Linked DNA regions of Xenopus tropicalis. The protein of the gene in region 4 purifies or fractionates together with the protein of the main gene of each other region. This does not show direct contact. Links are inferred from orthologs where the notes say so. Each region holds a gene or a part of one and is shown on either strand. Other genes may lie near its edges. The genes, in order: hsp90ab1, rps6ka3, cdc37 and fgfr1.

The links.
Region 1: the proteins of fgfr1 (region 4) and hsp90ab1 purify together in Homo sapiens (affinity purification with mass spectrometry; 3 studies listed by BioGRID and IntAct, with this or other methods). This does not show direct contact. The link is inferred for Xenopus tropicalis from reciprocal best matches to the Homo sapiens genes FGFR1 and HSP90AB1.
Region 2: the proteins of fgfr1 (region 4) and rps6ka3 purify together in Homo sapiens (affinity purification with mass spectrometry; 4 studies listed by BioGRID and IntAct, with this or other methods). This does not show direct contact. The link is inferred for Xenopus tropicalis from reciprocal best matches to the Homo sapiens genes FGFR1 and RPS6KA3.
Region 3: the proteins of fgfr1 (region 4) and cdc37 purify together in Homo sapiens (affinity purification with mass spectrometry; 3 studies listed by BioGRID and IntAct, with this or other methods). This does not show direct contact. The link is inferred for Xenopus tropicalis from reciprocal best matches to the Homo sapiens genes FGFR1 and CDC37.

Annotation. Positions count from the first base shown.
Region 1 is NC_030681.2:2,234,725-2,239,824, reverse strand, and holds the start of hsp90ab1 (heat shock protein HSP 90-beta), read left to right. Parts: upstream 1-1,870; 5' UTR 1,871-1,916; intron 1,917-3,111; coding exon 3,112-3,258; intron 3,259-3,548; coding exon 3,549-3,755; intron 3,756-3,876; coding exon 3,877-4,036; intron 4,037-4,120; coding exon 4,121-4,254; intron 4,255-4,330; coding exon 4,331-4,636; intron 4,637-4,734; coding exon 4,735-4,900; intron 4,901-5,100. UniProt on the Homo sapiens protein: Molecular chaperone that promotes the maturation, structural maintenance and proper regulation of specific target proteins involved for instance in cell cycle control and signal transduction. Undergoes a functional cycle linked to its ATPase activity.
Region 2 is NC_030678.2:43,800,514-43,804,901, forward strand, and holds part of rps6ka3 (ribosomal protein S6 kinase alpha-3), read right to left. Parts: intron 1,889-4,388; coding exon 1,800-1,888; intron 1,673-1,799; coding exon 1,608-1,672; intron 1,515-1,607; coding exon 1,412-1,514; intron 274-1,411; coding exon 149-273; intron 1-148. UniProt on the Homo sapiens protein: Serine/threonine-protein kinase that acts downstream of ERK (MAPK1/ERK2 and MAPK3/ERK1) signaling and mediates mitogenic and stress-induced activation of the transcription factors CREB1, ETV1/ER81 and NR4A1/NUR77, regulates translation through RPS6 and EIF4B phosphorylation, and mediates cellular proliferation, survival, and differentiation by modulating mTOR signaling and repressing pro-apoptotic function of BAD and DAPK1.
Region 3 is NC_030679.2:137,666,439-137,671,489, forward strand, and holds the start of cdc37 (hsp90 co-chaperone Cdc37), read right to left. Parts: upstream 3,494-5,051; 5' UTR 3,472-3,493; intron 1,093-3,471; 5' UTR 1,060-1,092; coding exon 958-1,059; intron 1-957. UniProt on the Homo sapiens protein: Co-chaperone that binds to numerous kinases and promotes their interaction with the Hsp90 complex, resulting in stabilization and promotion of their activity. Inhibits HSP90AA1 ATPase activity.
Region 4 is NC_030679.2:130,983,529-130,987,916, reverse strand, and holds part of fgfr1 (fibroblast growth factor receptor 1 precursor), read right to left. Parts: intron 4,165-4,388; coding exon 4,019-4,164; intron 3,938-4,018; coding exon 3,816-3,937; intron 3,517-3,815; coding exon 3,406-3,516; intron 2,608-3,405; coding exon 2,417-2,607; intron 2,238-2,416; coding exon 2,115-2,237; intron 1,502-2,114; coding exon 1,431-1,501; intron 405-1,430; coding exon 267-404; intron 138-266; coding exon 32-137; intron 1-31. UniProt on the Homo sapiens protein: Tyrosine-protein kinase that acts as a cell-surface receptor for fibroblast growth factors and plays an essential role in the regulation of embryonic development, cell proliferation, differentiation and migration.

The DNA.
Region 1 (5,100 bases), on a different chromosome or scaffold from region 4:
AGGGACCTTAGATTGTAAACTCACTGGGGCAGGGACTGATGGGAATGTGATAGGGACCTTAGATTGTAAGCTCACTGGGGCAGGGACTGATGGGAATGGGATAGGGACCTTAGATTGTAAGCTCACGGGGCAGGGGCTGATGGGAATGGGATAGGGACCTTAGATTGTAAGCTCACTGGGGCAAGGGACTGATGGGATGGATAGGGGCCCTTAGATTGTAAGTCACTGGGGCAGGGGCTGATGGGATGTGATAGGGACTTAGATTGTAAGCTCACTGGGGCAGGGGTGATGGGAATGTGATAGGGACCTTAGATTGTAGCTCACTGGGGCAGGGGCTGATGGGAATGTGATAGGGACCTTAGATTGTAAGCTCACTGGGGCAGGGCTGATGGGAATGGATAGGGACCTTAGATTGTAAGCTCACTGGGGCAGGGCTGATGGGAATGTGATAGGGACCTTAGATTGTAAGCTCACTGGGCAGGGACTGATGGAATGGGATAGGGACCTTTAGATTGTAAGCTCACTGGGCAGGGGCTGATGGGAAGGGACTTAGAGGTGTAAGCTCCTGGGGCAGGGGCTGATGGGAATGGGATGGGACTTAGATTGTAAGCTCACTGGGCAGGGGCTGATAGGGAATGTGATAGGGACCTTAGATTGTAAGCTCACTGGGGGCAGGGGCTGATGGGAATGGGAATAGGGACCATTAGATTGTAAGCTCACTGGGCAGGGGCTGATGGGAATGTGATAGGGGACCTTAGATTGTAGCTCACTGGGGCAGGGGCTGATGGGAATGGGATAGGGACCTTAGATTGTAAGCTCACTGGGGCAGGGGCTGATGGGAATGGGGATAGGACCTTAGATTGTAAGCTCACTGGGCAGGGACTGATGGAATGGATAGGGGCCTTAGATTGTAAGCTCACTGGGGCAGGGGCTGATGGGAATGGATAGGGACCTTAGATTGTTTAGCTCACTGGGGCAGGGGCTGATGGGAATGGGATAGGGACCTTAGATTGTAAGCTCACTGGGGCAGGGACTGATGGAATCGGGATAGGGCCTTAGATTGTAAGCTCACTGGGGCAGGGACTGATGGGAATGGGATAGGGACATTAGAGTGTAAGCTCACTGGGGCAGGGGCTGATGGGAATGGGATAGGGACATTAGAGTGTAAGCTCACTGGGGCAGGGGCTGATGGGACAGAATACCAGGGCTACAGAAATAAAACAACCAAATAAACCCTTTATCTTCCCATGTGACTCAGCAGCCATTTGTCCCTGCAGTTAGTGACGTAACAGGAGCCTTGCCCCTCCCACTAGCCTGGCCCCTCCCACAAACAACAGAGGGCGAGCGGAATGACAAAGCAGCAGATGGCGGCAGCGGGGCTGAAGGGTTCATTTGCCTCACAGACAAGGAAGAAGGGGCGGGGCAGGGGAGAGGCAGGGGAGGGACAAAAGGCGGAGTCACTAGAGAAACTACTAGAAAATTACACTACCTCCTCCGCTTGGTATCCTCCCGCCAAGGAAAAAAAATAGTCCCAGCAGCATTTGCTATAAGGAGGGAACCTCCCGGGCCGGCCAGAGGGGGCGCTGTGAGTGAGTGCTGAGTAACACAGAGTTGCGCATGCTCAGTTCCCTGAGGAGAGACGCACTCGGTAGTTTGATTATTGCAGCTGGGCTGAAAGGCGAAATCCCAGATCCGTACTGGGAAGCCCTGGTCCCACGGAGCTACTGCCCGCACTCTCTCTCACTGCGGCTCCGCGTACTCAGCCCTAGCTGCAAATAGTGCCGGCACTGGTGCAGGCGGAGGGATCTGGGGCTGCTCTCCGCCCAGTATAAAAGGTGCCCGGCTGCTTGTTTCTTTCCTCTTCATTCACCAATTCCCCAGCAGTGTTCGGCCGCGGAGATCCTTAAGCAGCCAAGGTACCCGGGGGGGCATTGTGTGGGGCTGCTGGGGGCATTGTGTGGGGCTGCTGGGGGCATTGTGAGGGGCTGCTGGGGGGGGCATTGTGAGGGGCTGCTGGGGGGGGCATTGTGAGGGGCTGCTGGGGGGATAGTGAGGGGCTGCTGGGGGGCAGCGGGCTGGGTATTGGCACTTGGGAGTCCGAGTGGGGCAATGGCTGGAGAAACTGAGGCAGGAGCCATAGTAGCGGGGAGAGGGGCAGTTAGATGGGGGAGAGGGGCAGTTAGATGGGGGAGAGGGGCAGTTAGATGGGGGAGAGGGGCAGTTAGATGGGGGAGAGGGGACATTATCGTTGAGGCGAATTCGGGGCCCCTGTAATTCTCTACGGGAAAGGTTCATTCTGTGTATTATTCCCGGGGTTTCCCTAACTGTCAGTCCCGGCCCCGCCCCCCGGCCCTGGAACCTTCTAGATCTTTCTACCCCCCCCCGCGGGTGGGGGCGCACATGGTTAGGGAGCCGGTAGCGCCGCCATGTTGGGATGAAGCGCGTCACAGCCGGGGCCGGGCCGTGTATCCATGGTAACGGCTCCCCCTGCGCCCGGTCATGGTCTGTCCCGCTGCTGCTTGCGCCGTATGGGCTGGTCCATGTGTTCCCTCTGCTGGGGGGGGGGGAACGAATAACACTGACAGCTGCCCCACACCCGGGGCTCCTGTTGCCCCCCACACCCGGGGCTCCTGTTGCCCCCCACACCCGGGGCTCCTGTTGCCCCACACCCAGCGGGACAGGTCGCAAATGTCTTTCAGCCCAAAATCGGGGGAGGGGGGATTTAAAAGCTTCTCACAGGGTCTTAAAGGGCCAGTACCCCCAGTTACTCAGTGTGAGCTCAATGAGTAGAGCAAGTTCTGCACAGAGATCTGCCTGTTGCTGTAAGGAGATAATAGGACTTATTTAATATAAATATATTTCTCTAACCAGGGTGGAACTGAAAGTAAAAGTCCCTTACATGGCTGCTGTGAAGCCTCTATATAAACAAACCCCTCCCTTTCCCCAATGGCAGGGTGTGAGTGTTATACAGAGGCTGCTGCTTTGTTTCCATTCTGCTCATAAGAGCAGGAAGTAGAATGTTGCATAGGAGGGGGCAGTTATACGGCCCCTGGTGTTGCACGGGGCAATAGTCCTGCCTAAGACCCAGCTGACTCTCGTTCCCTTACACAGATGCCTGAAGTCGCTCACAATGGAGAGGAGGAGGTGGAGACATTTGCCTTCCAGGCGGAGATTGCGCAGCTCATGTCCCTCATCATCAACACCTTCTACTCCAACAAAGAAATCTTCCTGCGAGAGTTGATCTCCAACGCCTCCGACGTAAGTCTGTCCTTGGCTGCCTATGTGCCAACTGTGCCAGTGCCCAAGCACCCATATGTGGGGGGAGGGGGTATCTGAACTAAAGCAGAGCTGGCCTCTTGGCTCAGCTAGTGATAGAATGGTGTGTGTGCTCTGCAGCCAAGCTGTTATATTAGTAGGTATTGTGGCAGCTTCACTGCCTGTTGCATAGGGGTCTGGGGGGACTGTTATAATGAGGGGGGGGGGGCCCTCTGGGCTAGTAGCCACTCTCTGCCAATCCTCAACCTTCTCCCCATTGTTCGGTGCCGCAGGCCCTGGATAAGATCCGATACGAGAGTCTGACCGATCCCTCCAAGCTGGACAGCGGCAAAGACCTGAAGATCGACATCATTCCCAACCGCCAGGAGCGCACACTGACTGTCATCGACACCGGGATTGGCATGACCAAGGCCGACCTCATCAACAACCTGGGAACCATCGCCAAGTCCGGCACCAAGGCTTTCATGGAGGCCCTGCAGGTCGGTACCAGCGGCCCAATATAAAGCATTGACTATTAAATGCTGGCGCATTAAGTACCGTCCACTAGCCAGTGGTGTCTCCCTGAAGTCCAATTGAGTTGTGGTTCCTTCTCTCTGACAGGCTGGTGCTGACATCTCTATGATTGGTCAGTTCGGTGTGGGTTTCTATTCTGCGTACTTGGTGGCAGAGAAGGTCTTGGTCATCACCAAACACAACGATGATGAACAGTACGCGTGGGAATCCTCCGCCGGCGGCTCTTTCACCGTGAAGACTGACCATGGTGAGTTTGTGTTCAATTGGACCAGAATTCCCCTAAAGGCCTGTAAGTTGGCACCACTAACCCCAAACTGGTATTTCCTGCTAGGTGAGCCCATTGGCCGTGGTACCAAAGTCATCCTCTACCTGAAGGAAGATCAGACAGAGTACCTGGAGGAGAAACGTGTCAAGGAAACCGTGAAGAAACACTCGCAGTTCATTGGCTACCCAATCACCCTCTATGTGAGTATGGCCGGCCAGCTGGGGGCAGGGCCCTGGGTCTGATGTACGATTGGCTCACTATTTGTCTCCCCGACAGCTGGAGAAGGAGAGGGAAAAGGAGATCAGCGACGATGAGGCAGAGGAGGAGAAAGAGGAAGAAAAGAAGGAAGAGGAGGGAGAGAACGACAAACCTAAAATAGAGGACGTGGGCTCCGATGAGGAAGAGGAGGGGAAGGACAAGAAGAAAAAGACAAAGAAGATCAAGGAGAAGTACATCGACCAGGAGGAGCTGAACAAAACCAAGCCCATCTGGACCCGTAACCCAGACGACATCACCCAGGAAGAGTACGGAGAGTTCTACAAGAGCCTGACCAATGACTGGGAGGATCACTTGGCTGTGAAGGTAAGAAGAAAAAAAAACCCCATAATGCACCGCTTGTTCAGCTCTGGGTTCCACACTCTCTCCTGAGCGCTAACACCCCCTGTTCTGCTTCCCCCCAGCACTTCTCTGTGGAGGGGCAACTGGAGTTCCGCGCTCTGCTCTTCATTCCCCGCCGCGCCCCCTTTGATCTGTTTGAGAACAAGAAGAAGAAGAACAACATCAAGCTGTACGTGCGCCGCGTCTTCATCATGGATAGCTGCGACGAGCTGATCCCAGAGTATCTGAGTAAGTACTGGCCCGAAGCTTAGTGGGCCCCCTCCTTCCCCCCCCCCCCATAGGATGGGATGCTGGGTAAAGCCTTCCAATAGTCTGGCATTAGATGCTTCATTAACAGTCTAGCATGTAGATCTTTTGCTTGATGTGGTGACACAGGCAGGCAGGGCCCCACGCACACCCATAGGCACACAGGCAGGCAGGTAAGTGTG
Region 2 (4,388 bases), on a different chromosome or scaffold from region 4:
TACCTAACATGTATTTATGCCATTATATAGAGTGCTGAGAAAGTTAAAATGTATGTATGTTATATACAACTATAAATTAGCATTTAAAATACAAATGAATTATTAAAAGCGGCACTGTATGTACACTTCAAAGAAAAAATGTGCTTACTGGAACAATAGCATGAACCCCAACCGTTTGCATAGCTTGGTTTTCATCCTCAGATGTAATGGCAACAAAGCTGAACCCACGGAAGAGCTGGTGTGCATTGGCACTTGCTGGGATACCAGGAGAATCTAGGTGTTAAAAATAAATGTATTATACATTTGGTAAAAATGATCATAACTGTACACTAGACACTAGGTTTGGTAAAATATAGCTACATAAACCCAGGGAAAGATGAACAAACTAGAAAGGATTGTTTTACATAAGGGGTGATTTATCAAGTCAAGGTTTTTTTCCCTCAACTCAAGTTTTTTGTGCTTAAGAAACTCGGATTCGAGTTTTCGTTCCTACACTCAAATGTCTGGTATTTATTAAGTGCAAAAAATGTAAAAAATTGCCATGTAAAAGCTTGGGAGCTTCTATGGAAGTCAATGGGAGTTGTCATAGGCAAAGTCAAGCCATATTCTTAAAATCTTTTCCGTTAAGAATTTTTAGAGCTCAGAGTTTTTCCTATTAATAAATAAGCGACCATTTGATATGCAAGTTTATTCATTTAGAGAAACAAACACTAAAATTGATAAATAAGCCCTATAGTGTAACAAACAGAGAGCAGATTTAAACAATAGCTTTCATAATGTTTCCATGAGATCGATAAGATCCGGTGTTTGAAAGACTAACTCTAAAAAATGAAAATGATATATGATATATATATATTGATTGCTAAAAAATTATAATACATAGATAAAATGAAATAAAGCTAGGGTAAGCCCTACTCTAGTAACCAGATAACTGCAGAAATTGCAAACTGGAGAGTTGCTGAACAAAAAGCAAAAAAAAAAAAATTAAAATACCACAAATAATAAAAAAAATGAAGGCAAATTGTAGTCTGTGTAGGAATACAAGTCTCTACATCATAGTAAAAGTTATTTTCAAGGTGAATAATACCTCTGAGGCAGTGACTTATGAACCATCTGAGTTCAGGCTTGCATCTGAGGCCCAACTTTTGTTCAGGGCCCCATTTCCTCCAAACAAAATTATAGATATATAAAAAGACCGCTGCGACAACTGTATTTCTGTATGACATGTGTCACACCTGCCTGGTTCCGCGTTCTCGCATGCGCTCACGGGGGGGGGGGGGGGGGGGGGGTTAGGGGCGCACAAATCCGGCGCTGAGGGTCAGCAAACATATAGGACATAACACATCAGAATACCCACCATTTACTAATTAAGTTGCACACAGTAAATGAGAAACAGGTAAAAATAACCTACCTTTTGGTGTTTTTGCTGTGAACTCGGGATCAAAATAAAATGTGTCCTCTGGTCCACCAGTGGCTGGTTTAAAAGGTGGCTGGTTCTCTCTCCTATACAGTTTCTAAAAAAAATACAAACAAAAATAATGTCCCTAGAATCTTGGGTGAAAACAAAAGATATATCATATGTGTCATTGCAGAGGGAAATGTCTTACATTCCAATCAATTGTGGCAAAAAATGGATGTCTCTTAATCTCTTCAACCCCATCTGGCCCTGCTCCTTCATAAAATAGTAAAAATGCGATTAAGGATTTTTCTTTGGTCCTGAGATTTTAGCAAGCAGAATAACATTATACAAATATACATTAAGCTGAAATAAATGGTAACACTAAAATCATTTAGCTCACCTAGTCTGTTGGTAGGATTTCTCTTGAACAGCATGCGGAGGAGACTCTGAGCTTCTGGAGTTAAAAATTGAGGCATCCCAAGTTTGGCTCTAAACATATGCAAAAAGAAGAATGTTTAACTCAATAGATTTGGCAGCATTTAACATTTTTAATTAAATATAGAAAAGAGATGTGAATAACCTGTTAATTATATCCCTTTAAATGCTGCTCATTTACATCATTAGAATAGGTACTGATGTCATGTGCAAAGTGACTCTTGAAATTTGTTTATTATAAAGAATAATTTACCCCTATAAATTATATATATTGCAAGCACAGGTTGCATTTTCAAACGGTGTTCTCAGAAAACTGTGTGTTGATTTTTCCATGTTTTAAAGCAATATAATCAAGGATGTCCAATTATTGTTCTTGAAATATAACTGCTGGAATCTCACTACAGCCACAGAAAAAGCTATTTCAACATCTGGACAGCTGCAGATTGGACAATCTAAAAGGCCATACACAAGATAAACAGCTGCTAACTTTGCCCCTCCCAAATGAGTAGACAGTTTATAGGCTCATGTATAAGGGCAAACCAATACACTGCCTAACCAATAGCTATCAGGTTTAAAAATTCAGTCAGATGAGGTTTATTAATGAAGTCCTTTACCATTTGGGACATAAGCCCCTGTGACGATCTGATGGTTGGCCAAATCAGGTATCCTCGCCATATAAGTAGTTTTTTTTATGTACAAGGAGCTTAAGGGCTCTGGCACACGGGGAGATTATTCGCCCGCGACAAATCTCCCTTGTCACAGGCGACCAATCTCCCCGAACTACCATCCCACCGCCAAACATGTAAGTCGCCGGTCGAGGCATTTTCGGCGATTTGCCGAAATCGCACCGCCGCGTGTGCCATCCCACCGGCAACTTACACGTTCGCCGGTGGGATGGCAACTCGGGGAGATTAGTCGCCCGCGAACAGGGAGATTTGTCGCGGGCGACTAATCTCCCCGTGTGCCAGAGCCCTAAGAAAAAAATGCACTTAAGTATAGCTAATGCGTTATCAGTATTTTCATAACACTAATACATTCCTTGCAGACATAAAGGGATTTATGGTATGGCTGTAATTGGCTGCTGCCCATTTAACAGCTCAGGAAAGTTTATCAAAGTAATGAATAGATTCATGTAATGTACTATTGCCCTGCCCTGGTAAAAGTTGTGTATTTGCATCAAAAAGACTGCTATAGTTAATATAAACAAAGCTGCTGTGTAGCCACTGGGGCAGCCACTCAAGGAAAAAAGGCACAGGTTACATAGCAGAAAACATAGCCAGATGTAAACACCATAAAACAAGTTTTGTATCCTACATTCTCCCTTTCCAAAGAAATGATGTATTCTCACAAAACTCCCTGTTCTTGTGCATTAAGTAAGACCGAATAATGTATTATACTAGAGTTTGCATTATACTAGAGCCTAAAGACAGAGGCAATTATAACAAAATCAGATGAAAAAAAATAGGTATGGATGACCAGGAATGAAGATGCTATAAAAGGGGTAGAAGCAACTAATAAACCCTTGTAGCCCCCAAGGGTAATGCCACACATGGTGTTTTCTCTGCCCCCTAAGACTAATGTCAAATGAGGCGCAGCTTTAGTTTCTTTCGCCTTCTCCAAGAGAACCGACATGCTTCCTTCCGCTTTGCTGTGTCTCTGCATTGCCAGGCACAGCATCAGCCTGTTAGCAGATACACAGAGCGGATTTCGCATTTATGTGGGATTTTCATATTTTTGCATTTTTGTGACAATAACCACTGTGTGTGCATAGGCCAACACCATACCTGTCAGTGCAGAGACATGGCTAGAGGAGACCACATTGACCGCCTGTGGAAAAAGTCATGGCTATGCCTCGTGTGACCTTAGCTCATGTCACAAGTGATGTTTTCTCTGCTGACCTGAAAATCATTCTGTCCAAAAATGCATGCTTGCATGGTTTAGAAATCTGCCCTTGAAGGCAGCCACATTGCATTTATTTACTCCTCCAAGGAAAATGTCACATCAGACATTTGCCTTAACCATATAGCTCTAGCAGCTGGTATCTTGGTCCAAAATTTGGTCTGAATAAAGTTGCAGCATATCATAAATTTGACTCCACTGTTTGGATCTGCATGGTGAAAGGGAATTCAGGTATAAGAAGTTAAAAATTCAAAAAGGTTCTATATGGGGGATGTAACAAAAATGTCAGCAGACCTAGAGGCTGCACGGAAAGGGGGCAGAAGAGCATGGGTGCTAATGGTTAATTCTGACAGACTCTTTCTTAACCTCTACTCACACCACTGCAACACTAAGCACTATTTCTTACAAACAACTGGGATATGTAGCATCCAGTCCCAGGACCCCTTGCAAAAAAGTTATTTTCGGACCCCCACATTATCCATCCTCAAAATAAAATCATGGGTGACCCACGACATACACAAAATCACGGGTCACCTGCAGTTTTGCCTCACAGGCCGCATGTAAAACTGCAGGTCACCTGCAACCATCCCTGTCATGGGCTCTCTATTCCCCACTGGCCACCCTGCAGCCTGTGGGCCTGGCCCCTATAGAGTTA
Region 3 (5,051 bases), about 6.7 Mb from region 4:
AAAGGAACAGTAACACTAAAAAATGAAAGAGCTTTAAAGTAATAAATATATAATGCACTGTTGCCCTGCACTGGTAAAACTGGTGTGTTTGCTACAGTAACACTACTATAATTTATAGAGCTGGGCGGTATGACCAAAAATTTATATCACGGTATTTTTCAAAATTATATCGGTGTCACGGTATTTGACGGTATTTTTTTTTTCCATGCATGATTAGGTGTTAACCCCATTTCCTAATAAATTAGAGAATAATTACTGCAGTATCGAAAATCAGAGTCAGGCAAGCGAAGGATCGGCAACAGAAAGTCGTAAGGTAAATCAGGCAGGCTTAGTTTCCCAGGCAAGGCCGCAGACAACATAGCACAGGAGGAGGCGTTTGATAGCTTTAAATACCCCCCACGCATGCACAGAACTGGTGCTGTCAGCGCGTCGCGGACGTGCACGCTTTGACATGTACGTGCGCAAGGAGGCGTGCGAGACCAGCCCACACGGGTGAGTACCCTGACACCCCGGTATTGCGGTATCTGAAAAATGAATATAGTTTTAAAAAAAAAAACACCGGTATTCGGTATTAAGCGGTATATCGCCCAGCCCTAATAATTTATATAATAAGCTGCTGTGTAGCCATGGGGGCAGCCATTCAAGCTGGAAAAAAGGAGAAAAGACACAGGTTACATAGCAGATAACAGATAAGTTCTGTAGAATACAATAGTGTTTTATCTGTTATCTGCTATGTGCCTGTGCCTTTTCTCCTTTGAACGGCTGCCTCCATGGCTACAGAGCAGCTTATTTATAGAAATTATAGTAGACTTTCTGAAGTAAACACACAACTTTTACCAGTGCAGGGCAGCAGCACATTATATTTTAGTTTACACTTTCATTTTTTGGTGTTACTGTTCCTTTAAAACATTTTCAATGAGGAAAGGAGAGAGAATCTTCCCCCCTATGTGGCATTACCTGGTGACGCCATCGGAAAAGACTGGCAGTGTCAATGTTGGGATGAGTGTCATCTTCGTCATCAGAAACTTCAATGTGGTCCCACACGCTATAATCCACCATTGTGTAGCAGAGATCAGACAAACAAGAGATTCACTGAAATGAAGGGCATAAAGAAAGACTTGTTTACAAGAATTCAAACATATAAAAGGTCTATATTACTACTTGCTACAGAAGCAGCTCCTGTGTGTCTAGAAAGCCTGATGTATCCATAAGGCCCTAAGCACGATCCTCTTATGTCTTAAGTGTTCATAATTATCTCCAAAATACCTCGACAGAGCCAATGCAATTCCAGCAGTTACTAGTACCTACTGTCATAACTGCTTCTGCCTCATCACTATCAAGGACTGAATCTAGGGCCAAACGGTAATGGAGCCTTTCTAATCTTTTTGTCTCTACAAAATGCATTGAAGGACTATCTGTCCTGTGTTGAATTTCCCCCACTAAAAGCTAATACAGAGGTCTTCAAGCTCCCCCTAACTGGACTTCAGGCTGGGCCCCCTTAGCTCATAACAAGGTTACAGATATATAGAAACATTGGGGTAACAGTCACCCTGCTATAGTTCCAGGGGTACCCAGGGCACAAATAAGCACTCACCCCAAATCTCCCCTAACTGGCCTTCAGGCTGGGCCCCCTTAGCCCATAACAAGGTTACAGATATATAGAAACACTGGGGTAACAGTCACCCTGCTATAGTTCCAGGGGTACCCAGGGCACAAATAAGCACTCACCCCAAATCCCCCCCCTAACTGGCCTTCAGGCTGGGCCCCCTTAGCCCATAACAAGGCTACAGATATATAGAAACATTGGGGTAACAGTCACCCTGCTATAGTTCCAGGGGTACCCAGGGCACAAATAAGCACTCACCCCAAATCCCCCCCTAACTGGCCTTCAGGCTGGGCCCCCTTAGCCCATAACAAGGTTACAGATATATAGAAACATTGGGGTAACAGTCACCCCGCTATAGTTCCAGGGGTACCCAGGGCACAAATAAGCACTCACCCAAATCCCCCCCTAACTGGCCTTCAGGCTGGGCCCCCTTAGCCATAACAAGGTTACAGATATATAGAAACATTGGGGTAACAGTCACCCTGCTATAGTTCCAGGGGTACCCAGGGCACAAATAAGCACTCACCCCAAATCCCCCCCTAACTGGCCTTCAGGCTGGGCCCCCTTAGCCCATAACAAGGTTACAGATATATAGAAACATTGGGGTAACAGTCACCCTGCTATAGTTCCAGGGGTACCCAGGGCACAAATAAGCACTCACCCCAAATCCCCCCCTAACTGGCCTTCAGGCTGGGCCCCCTTAGCCCATAACAAGGTTACAGATATATAGAAACATTGGGGTAACAGTCACCCTGCTATAGTTCCAGGGGTACCCAGGGCACAAATAAGCACTCACCCCAAATCCCCCCCTAACTGGCCTTCAGGCTGGGCCCCCTTAGCCCATAACAAGGTTACAGATATATAGAAATATTGGGGTAACAGTCACCCCACTATAGTTCCAGGGGTACCCAGGGCACAAATAAGCACTCACCCCAAATCCCCCCCTAACTGGCCTTCAGGCTGGGCCCCCTTAGCCCATAACAAGGTTACAGATATATAGAAACATTGGGGTAACAGTCACCCTGCTATAGTTCCAGGGGTACCCAGGGCACAAATAAGCACTCACCCCAAATCCCCCCTAACTGGCCTTCAGGCTGGGCCCCCTTAGCCCATAACAAGGTTACAGATATATAGAAACATTGGGTAACAGTCACCCTGCTATAGTTCCAGGGGTACCCAGGGCACAAATAAGCACTCACCCCAAATCCCCCCCTAACTGGCCTTCAGGCTGGGCCCCCTTAGCCCATAACAAGGTTACAGATATATAGAAACATTGGGGTAACAGTCACCCTGCTATAGTTCCAGGGGTACCCAGGGCACAAATAAGCACTCACCCCAAATCCCCCCCTAACTGGGGGATATATAAAGTTACTTTTCTGTTATGGTGAGTAAATTTCCTGGTATAATTTTGTCTCTACATCCTTCCTGGCAAATCAAAAAAACAACAGTAATGTAATATTTGATGGTTACCCCCCCCCCCCCCCAGATGTGACAGTGCGACCCCCCAACTCCTGCTTTACTTGCCACATGTCAGGGACTAGAATCAGAAACATGGCAGGGATATGGGGGGGGGGGGGGTAGATGAAAATAATATACTGTGCCCCAGCCATTAATGATGATAAAGCCTGGCTCCCAGATATTGTTAGACTACAACTCCCAGTATACTTTAAGTCTGGAGTATATGTTCAATAATTGTGAGAGTTGTAGTACAGCTACCCGGGCAAGAACAGCGCTCACTATACCAGGGAGTATTGCTTAATGCCTTAAACTGTTGCCCAAACAGCCTGTCCGTATAGGTAAATAGGATATAGCAGCACCGCAGGCAGGTATAAGAGAAATAGCCAGCTGTGGGAAGAAGCCATTACCTGGCACACCAGGGTGCAGCTGCAGGCCCCCTCGCAAGCTTCTGGAAAGCTCCTGCACTCTCTGCCTCAGCCTGCCCACTCCATGACATCACTTCCTTAACCTCGACGCGGCTGATTTGCCCTTACGCTAGAGTCTTCGGGCCGACTTCCTTTTTTGCCTATTCCATTCTCCTTGCGTCACTTCCGCCTTTGCTAGACAGGCAGGTTTGTTCTTGCTGCCGTAGGGAGTGGTTTGTGGAGGGGAATTGGAGATAGAAACGGCTTTATAGGATGGTATGCGAAGGGTTTTTCCACAATCAACATTATAGGCGGCCCAAGGGGGAGGAAAACATGAAACAACTGCTTATATTGTGAAAGGGGAACACCATCCGGAATCTGTTTTATTTTAACTTAATTCTAGGCAGCTTTCTGGTATACATACATTAAAAAGAAAAATAAATCATTTTGATATTTTGTGATTTTTGTTCAAAGCAGCGTCTGCCTGGCTGTTACTGTTGTTTGCGCTGCTGGTTCTGACTCCTGAAACAATGTAGCAAAACCAGAGAACAGAAAGGGATATACAAATACTGCTTGTCGTTACAATTGTAAATATAAATCACTTTGAAGCAATATATAATTGGTTTCCATTAGGTATTGGTTGAGGGTCAGTTACCAAATGTGCCTAATTGCCAGGCAAGCAGATCTGTGCTTTAAGGTGGCCATACACGTGCCGATTTTAGCGGCCGATATCGGTCCCTTAAGGTGTCCATACACGTGAAGATCCTACGGGTGGGTGATATCGGGGAACATGTAGGCAAATTTGATCGTTTGGCCCTGGGGCCAATCGAATTATAATGGCAATGGGGCAGTTGGTTCGGGGACTGCATCAACGAGCCGATGCGTTCCCCGATCCAACTAAATCTTTTAACCTGCCCGATCAATATGTGGCCAATGTGAGTCTAGATATCGGTCGGGCGTGCTCCTCGTTCCTGCCCCTACACGGGCCAATAAGCTTCCGAAACAGTCCAAGGGACCGATATTGGCAGCTACAATCGGCCCGTGTATGGGCACCTTTTGACCGATTCGGCAGCTTATTGGCCCGTGTAGGGGCACGAACGACGGGCCTGCATGACCGACATCTGGCCTGAAATCGGGCAGGTTAAAAAATTTTGACGGATCTGGGACCGCATCGGCTCGTTGATGCAGTCCCCAAAATGACTTGCCTATACCCGTCATTATAATTCCGTAGTTTGGCCCCAGGGCCAAATGACCAAATTAGCCTTCTTCAGGCATAAAAACAAGTGCATTGAACTTGATTAAATAGTCTCACACTTCATTAGCACACACAATTGTGCAATTAGCATATTTAACCTTTAAACAATCTGTAAAAGCCATTTCAAAGTGTAAAAAAGCATAATTTTATAATAACTCTTCTACTAGTTTAAAGCCCAGGTGGGGTTCCAATGTACAGCCAAGGTACAGATTTGGGCTATTTTTTAGCGCCTTGGCGGGTTTGTAGTTTGGAAACTAGCCAAAGTTTTTCCCTCTAGTGTGGCTGTCCCACTGCATGCTGGGTAATGTAGTTTGTATCTAACAATTAG
Region 4 (4,388 bases):
CTATATACAGTAGAATTCATTAAAAACGTACCTGATTGGAACTCAGAGCAAGAATTCGGTCAAGATCTTCAACCAGCTGATTGAATGTTGGTCTTTGAGAAGGCATGGCATGCCAGCAGTCCTTCATCATCATATACCTACAGAAACAGAGCTTACATTAAATTCACTAGCCCCCGAGGCAACGTGTTTATGGACATGATAAGGAGACACAAGCAGTGGTTGTTAAGCTACAAGTTAAAAAAGCATAGACGCACATAGATACTTACAACTCATTGGTGCAGGTAGTGGGTTTATCCATTCTGTGCCCTTCCTTAAGTAACTTAAAGAGCTCTTCCATGGGGACACCAGGATACGGGGAGCCCCCGAGCGTGAAAATCTCCCACAGCAGCACACCGAACGACCAGCTGAAATACAGCAGGAAGAGGTTAAGAGTGCACAACTGCAGTCATCCTACAAAAACCGCTGAGCCCAACAGATGTTGCATTAGAGATCAGTAACCTTCATGACTCCATGCTTTTATATGGCAAAGGAAATCCTCCTTCCAGGCCCAGACTGGCAATCTGTGGGTTCTGGCAAATGCCACAGGGGCTGCTGTAAGAAGCCATAGACAGTCACTATTTATTGGGCTGGTAGGGGGCTGTTTGGGCCTCTGTGTACTTTAATACTTTAAATGCCAGGGCCTAATTTGAATCTATTGGAGGAGACCTGCCTCCTTCAACAGCCTTAAAACATGACATTAGGGAATACATTAGCCTCTATTATACAAACAAAATCCATCTTTTTTTTCTAGTTACTACTGTCTAGTACAGGGCAGTCCAACGGGGAGCTTGTGAGCCAGGTGTAGCCCACATATTGCTCAGGAGCTACGCTGGACCCCTTTGGATGACATATAGTTACATAGTTACATAAGGTTGAGTCCATCAAGTTCAACCCATCAATGTTTTATTGTTATCTGGCCCCAAACAGAGAATAATTGGCCCAGTATATTGGCTTCAATAAATGGGGGTGTATAAAACATTTTATAAAGGTTTCTGCATCTATTTATGAGGTAACCCCCATGGATGACTTGAAATGCAAAAAACTCTAAGCTGAATGCACACCCACTGATATTTTGCATTTTTCAATAACCAACAAAAATGATCCGTTTTGGCCAATCCATCTGTATTGTGAGTGTCCTAACAGTGGTGTAACTAAGGAAGCAGACCCCATGGTTGCACGGGAACCCAGACTGCGGGGACTGCTTCCTCTATAGTTGCATAAAAATCCCACCTGAGAGCAGGCAGGGGAGTGGGGATTCATACACGTGTGGGAGGGGGACAGGTAGGGTTTGCTACTCGGCACCAGGCTACAGGGTCTGGAGGGCCCAGTGCAGAGTAGTTACATCATTGTGCCCTACGTTCAATAAAAAGCTCACATTTAATGATACTCACACATCACTCTGATGAGTGTAAATCCGGTCAAAAAGGGCTTCTGGGGCCATCCATTTTACAGGCAGCCGTCCCTAAAAGAAAATTCCATGTCTTAATATCAGCATTCCAGTAAGATCAAGATAGTTTCCTTAATGACAAGCCTGGCTTAGGTAGGCAGCATTGTGGGGACCTTGCAAAAACTATTTTGGTGGCTTTGACAGTGTAGGGAAATTGCCACAGGATATTTAGCTTTCCTAGTGACACTCAACCAGTGGAAATAGAAGTGAAGTCACGTTCCTCGCGTGTTCATGGCCCTAAATTTTCTATTATTTGGCTCCTACAACCTATCTTTCCCTGCTGCAAACAACTTAGTCTCAGTACAAGTAACTGGCTGATAACGGCTAGTCACTGAGTCAGACTCCGTGACACACTCCCCCCGTCATAATGCACAAAAGTTTTAGTTGCCGTTATCGAGTAGCAATTATTACACACAATAGAGGTCACTTATGGTGACTGGTGGAAAAAGGGGTGCAAGAGCACATCTCTTAGTATTTACTCATTCAGCCAGCGCACCCCCCCCCCATACAAAAATCTGCACCTCCTACAAACGGGAGACCCCAGCCATTTCCAAGGAAGGTGAAAAATGAATTTTATTGTGCCGCATACCTGCGCTAGGTAGGAATGGGATGTCTGTAAAGTACTCACGTTTGTGGTCTTCTTGTAATAGTCAATGTGATGGATATCACGGGCTAAGCCGAAGTCGGCAATCTTCATCACATTGTCCTCTGTTACCAAGACATTCCTTGCAGCCAGGTCTCGGTGGATACACTGTGGGGGACAACCATGCAGAGCTATTAATTTCACGACTAAACTATATGGGTCATAAAACTGAACTATTTGTTGAAATGCTAAAAACTACAATCAGTGCAGGAATATATTTTTGAATATAATATCACTGTAATTTTCCTCTTAGGTCTTCGAAGTAAAGGCAACAGGTTGCTACCAACCTTTTTAGAGGCAAGGTACTCCATCCCACGCGCCACCTGGTAAGCACACGACACCAGATCCTTGAAGGAGAGCAGCTGATCGGGGGCACAGGTAGGGTTGTAGCAGTACTCCATGCCCGGGGGGCGCCTGGCTCGCAAGTACTCTCTAAGGTTCCCCTTGGAAGCATATTCCACAATTACATAGAGTGGACCTGAAGGGAAGAGATGGTAATCAGTGCTAATGTAAAGATATCTCCTCTGCAGCAATATCTACAGGTATAATTCCTAGTGATCCAGCCAAGCATTGATATGTCGGGTATATGTCCTCTTAATGGAAGATAACATTTCTTGGTATAGGATAGTTTGCCCAGGAAGCTATATTTACCTATGTAATATGTTTATTCTTATAAAAAGGCAGCTGTCATATTGGTAAGTATGCATTTCATTACATCCATAAACTCATATGGATAATAATATAAACAACTCATAATATAAAACAGCGGCCTCTGGTGGTCAGTCATGAAAATCATAGATTTTGTAAATGGCTTTACGCTAACAAAATATTTGCTGTTCGCTAAAACCACTAGTTGTCAGTCTCTTAGTAGTGACTGGCAGAGAGCCACTAATTCAGGGACAGCAAACCTAAACATAACTCTTAGTACGTTATCTTTAAACCAGCATATGTAGTTCAGCATACAGCTACTGTAATGGATAACTAAGCCCTAACTAACTAACTAACTAACTGCAACCTGGTAGGGGGTGGTGCTCTGGGAACAGCTACTGTAATAAATAACCAAGTACCTGCTGATTGGAGGAGGAGATCCTCCAATCAATAGACCATCACTAACAGTTTTTCTAAACACGAACAAAATGGCGGCAGCATAGCAGGTGTTATTGTGGTTCTTACATAGGAGAAGGTAGTGGAAGGGAAAGGAGGATGGGTATGCACGAAAAGGAGGGGTTCAGGTCAAAACATTATAATACATGTTATTCAGTTTGAAGGAACTCACCATCTTGGGTGCAGGCACCAAGTAAATTGATGATATTTTTGTGTTTTCCAATCATTTTCATCATTTCCATCTCGGAAATCAGATCAGACAGGTCCTTTTCACTTGCATCAGCTAAACGGAGATAAATATTCACATTATGGAACAATAAACTATACTTATCTTATAAATTCATGATCACAGTCTCTATTATCCAACCCATATGACCCAGTTGGCGTTTATTGGCTTCTCCTTGTCAAGACTAGTATTACTGTATCCAAGCAAAATGGCAGCCTACTTTAGCTAGGAATGAGAAGCCTTCAATGTGATTGGCTGTCAGATAGTACATTGGCAAAGCCCACCTCAAAACCTTTCATAAAGTATAGTAAATGAAATGAATTAGCATAGGGTCAGTTTCTATAAAGGCAACTCACACTTTAACATCTTCACGGCAACTTTTGTCACTTTGTTAGGCTTCTCCTTATCCAGGCCGATAGCCTCTGCCATTACTACTTGCCCAAAGCAGCCTTCTCCGAGAGGTTTCCCAAGGATCAACCTATGAAATAGCACGATTTTGTTTAGGATTTGCATTGGTAAAGATTGATTTTACTTGCGAAATTGTGTGCAAGTTCCTCACCTGTCTCTTGCCACTTCCCAACGTGGATCTTCCGGAAGCTCGTATTCCGAGACTCCAGACAACATAGGCGTCCCACTGGATGAGAGGCGTGAGGGTCTGACCAATATCACTCCAGAGTGCATTGATGAGTTGGAGTCCCCTGAAACCTGTTCCAAAAGTAAGAGTTGGGTTACCATAAGAACACAGACGCAGAGCAGCTTAGTCTTTAATGCTTTGAGATGATGAAGTAACAGTAGCCACATTTTTGTTGATATGGTTGCAGAAATGCTGTCTTGTTGAGTAGTTTTGACCTTTCAACAGTTACGTATATAGGCATAGTTAATTTCATGCACAGAGCGTTCCACTGGCTGCCATGTTGTTTGTTATAGGG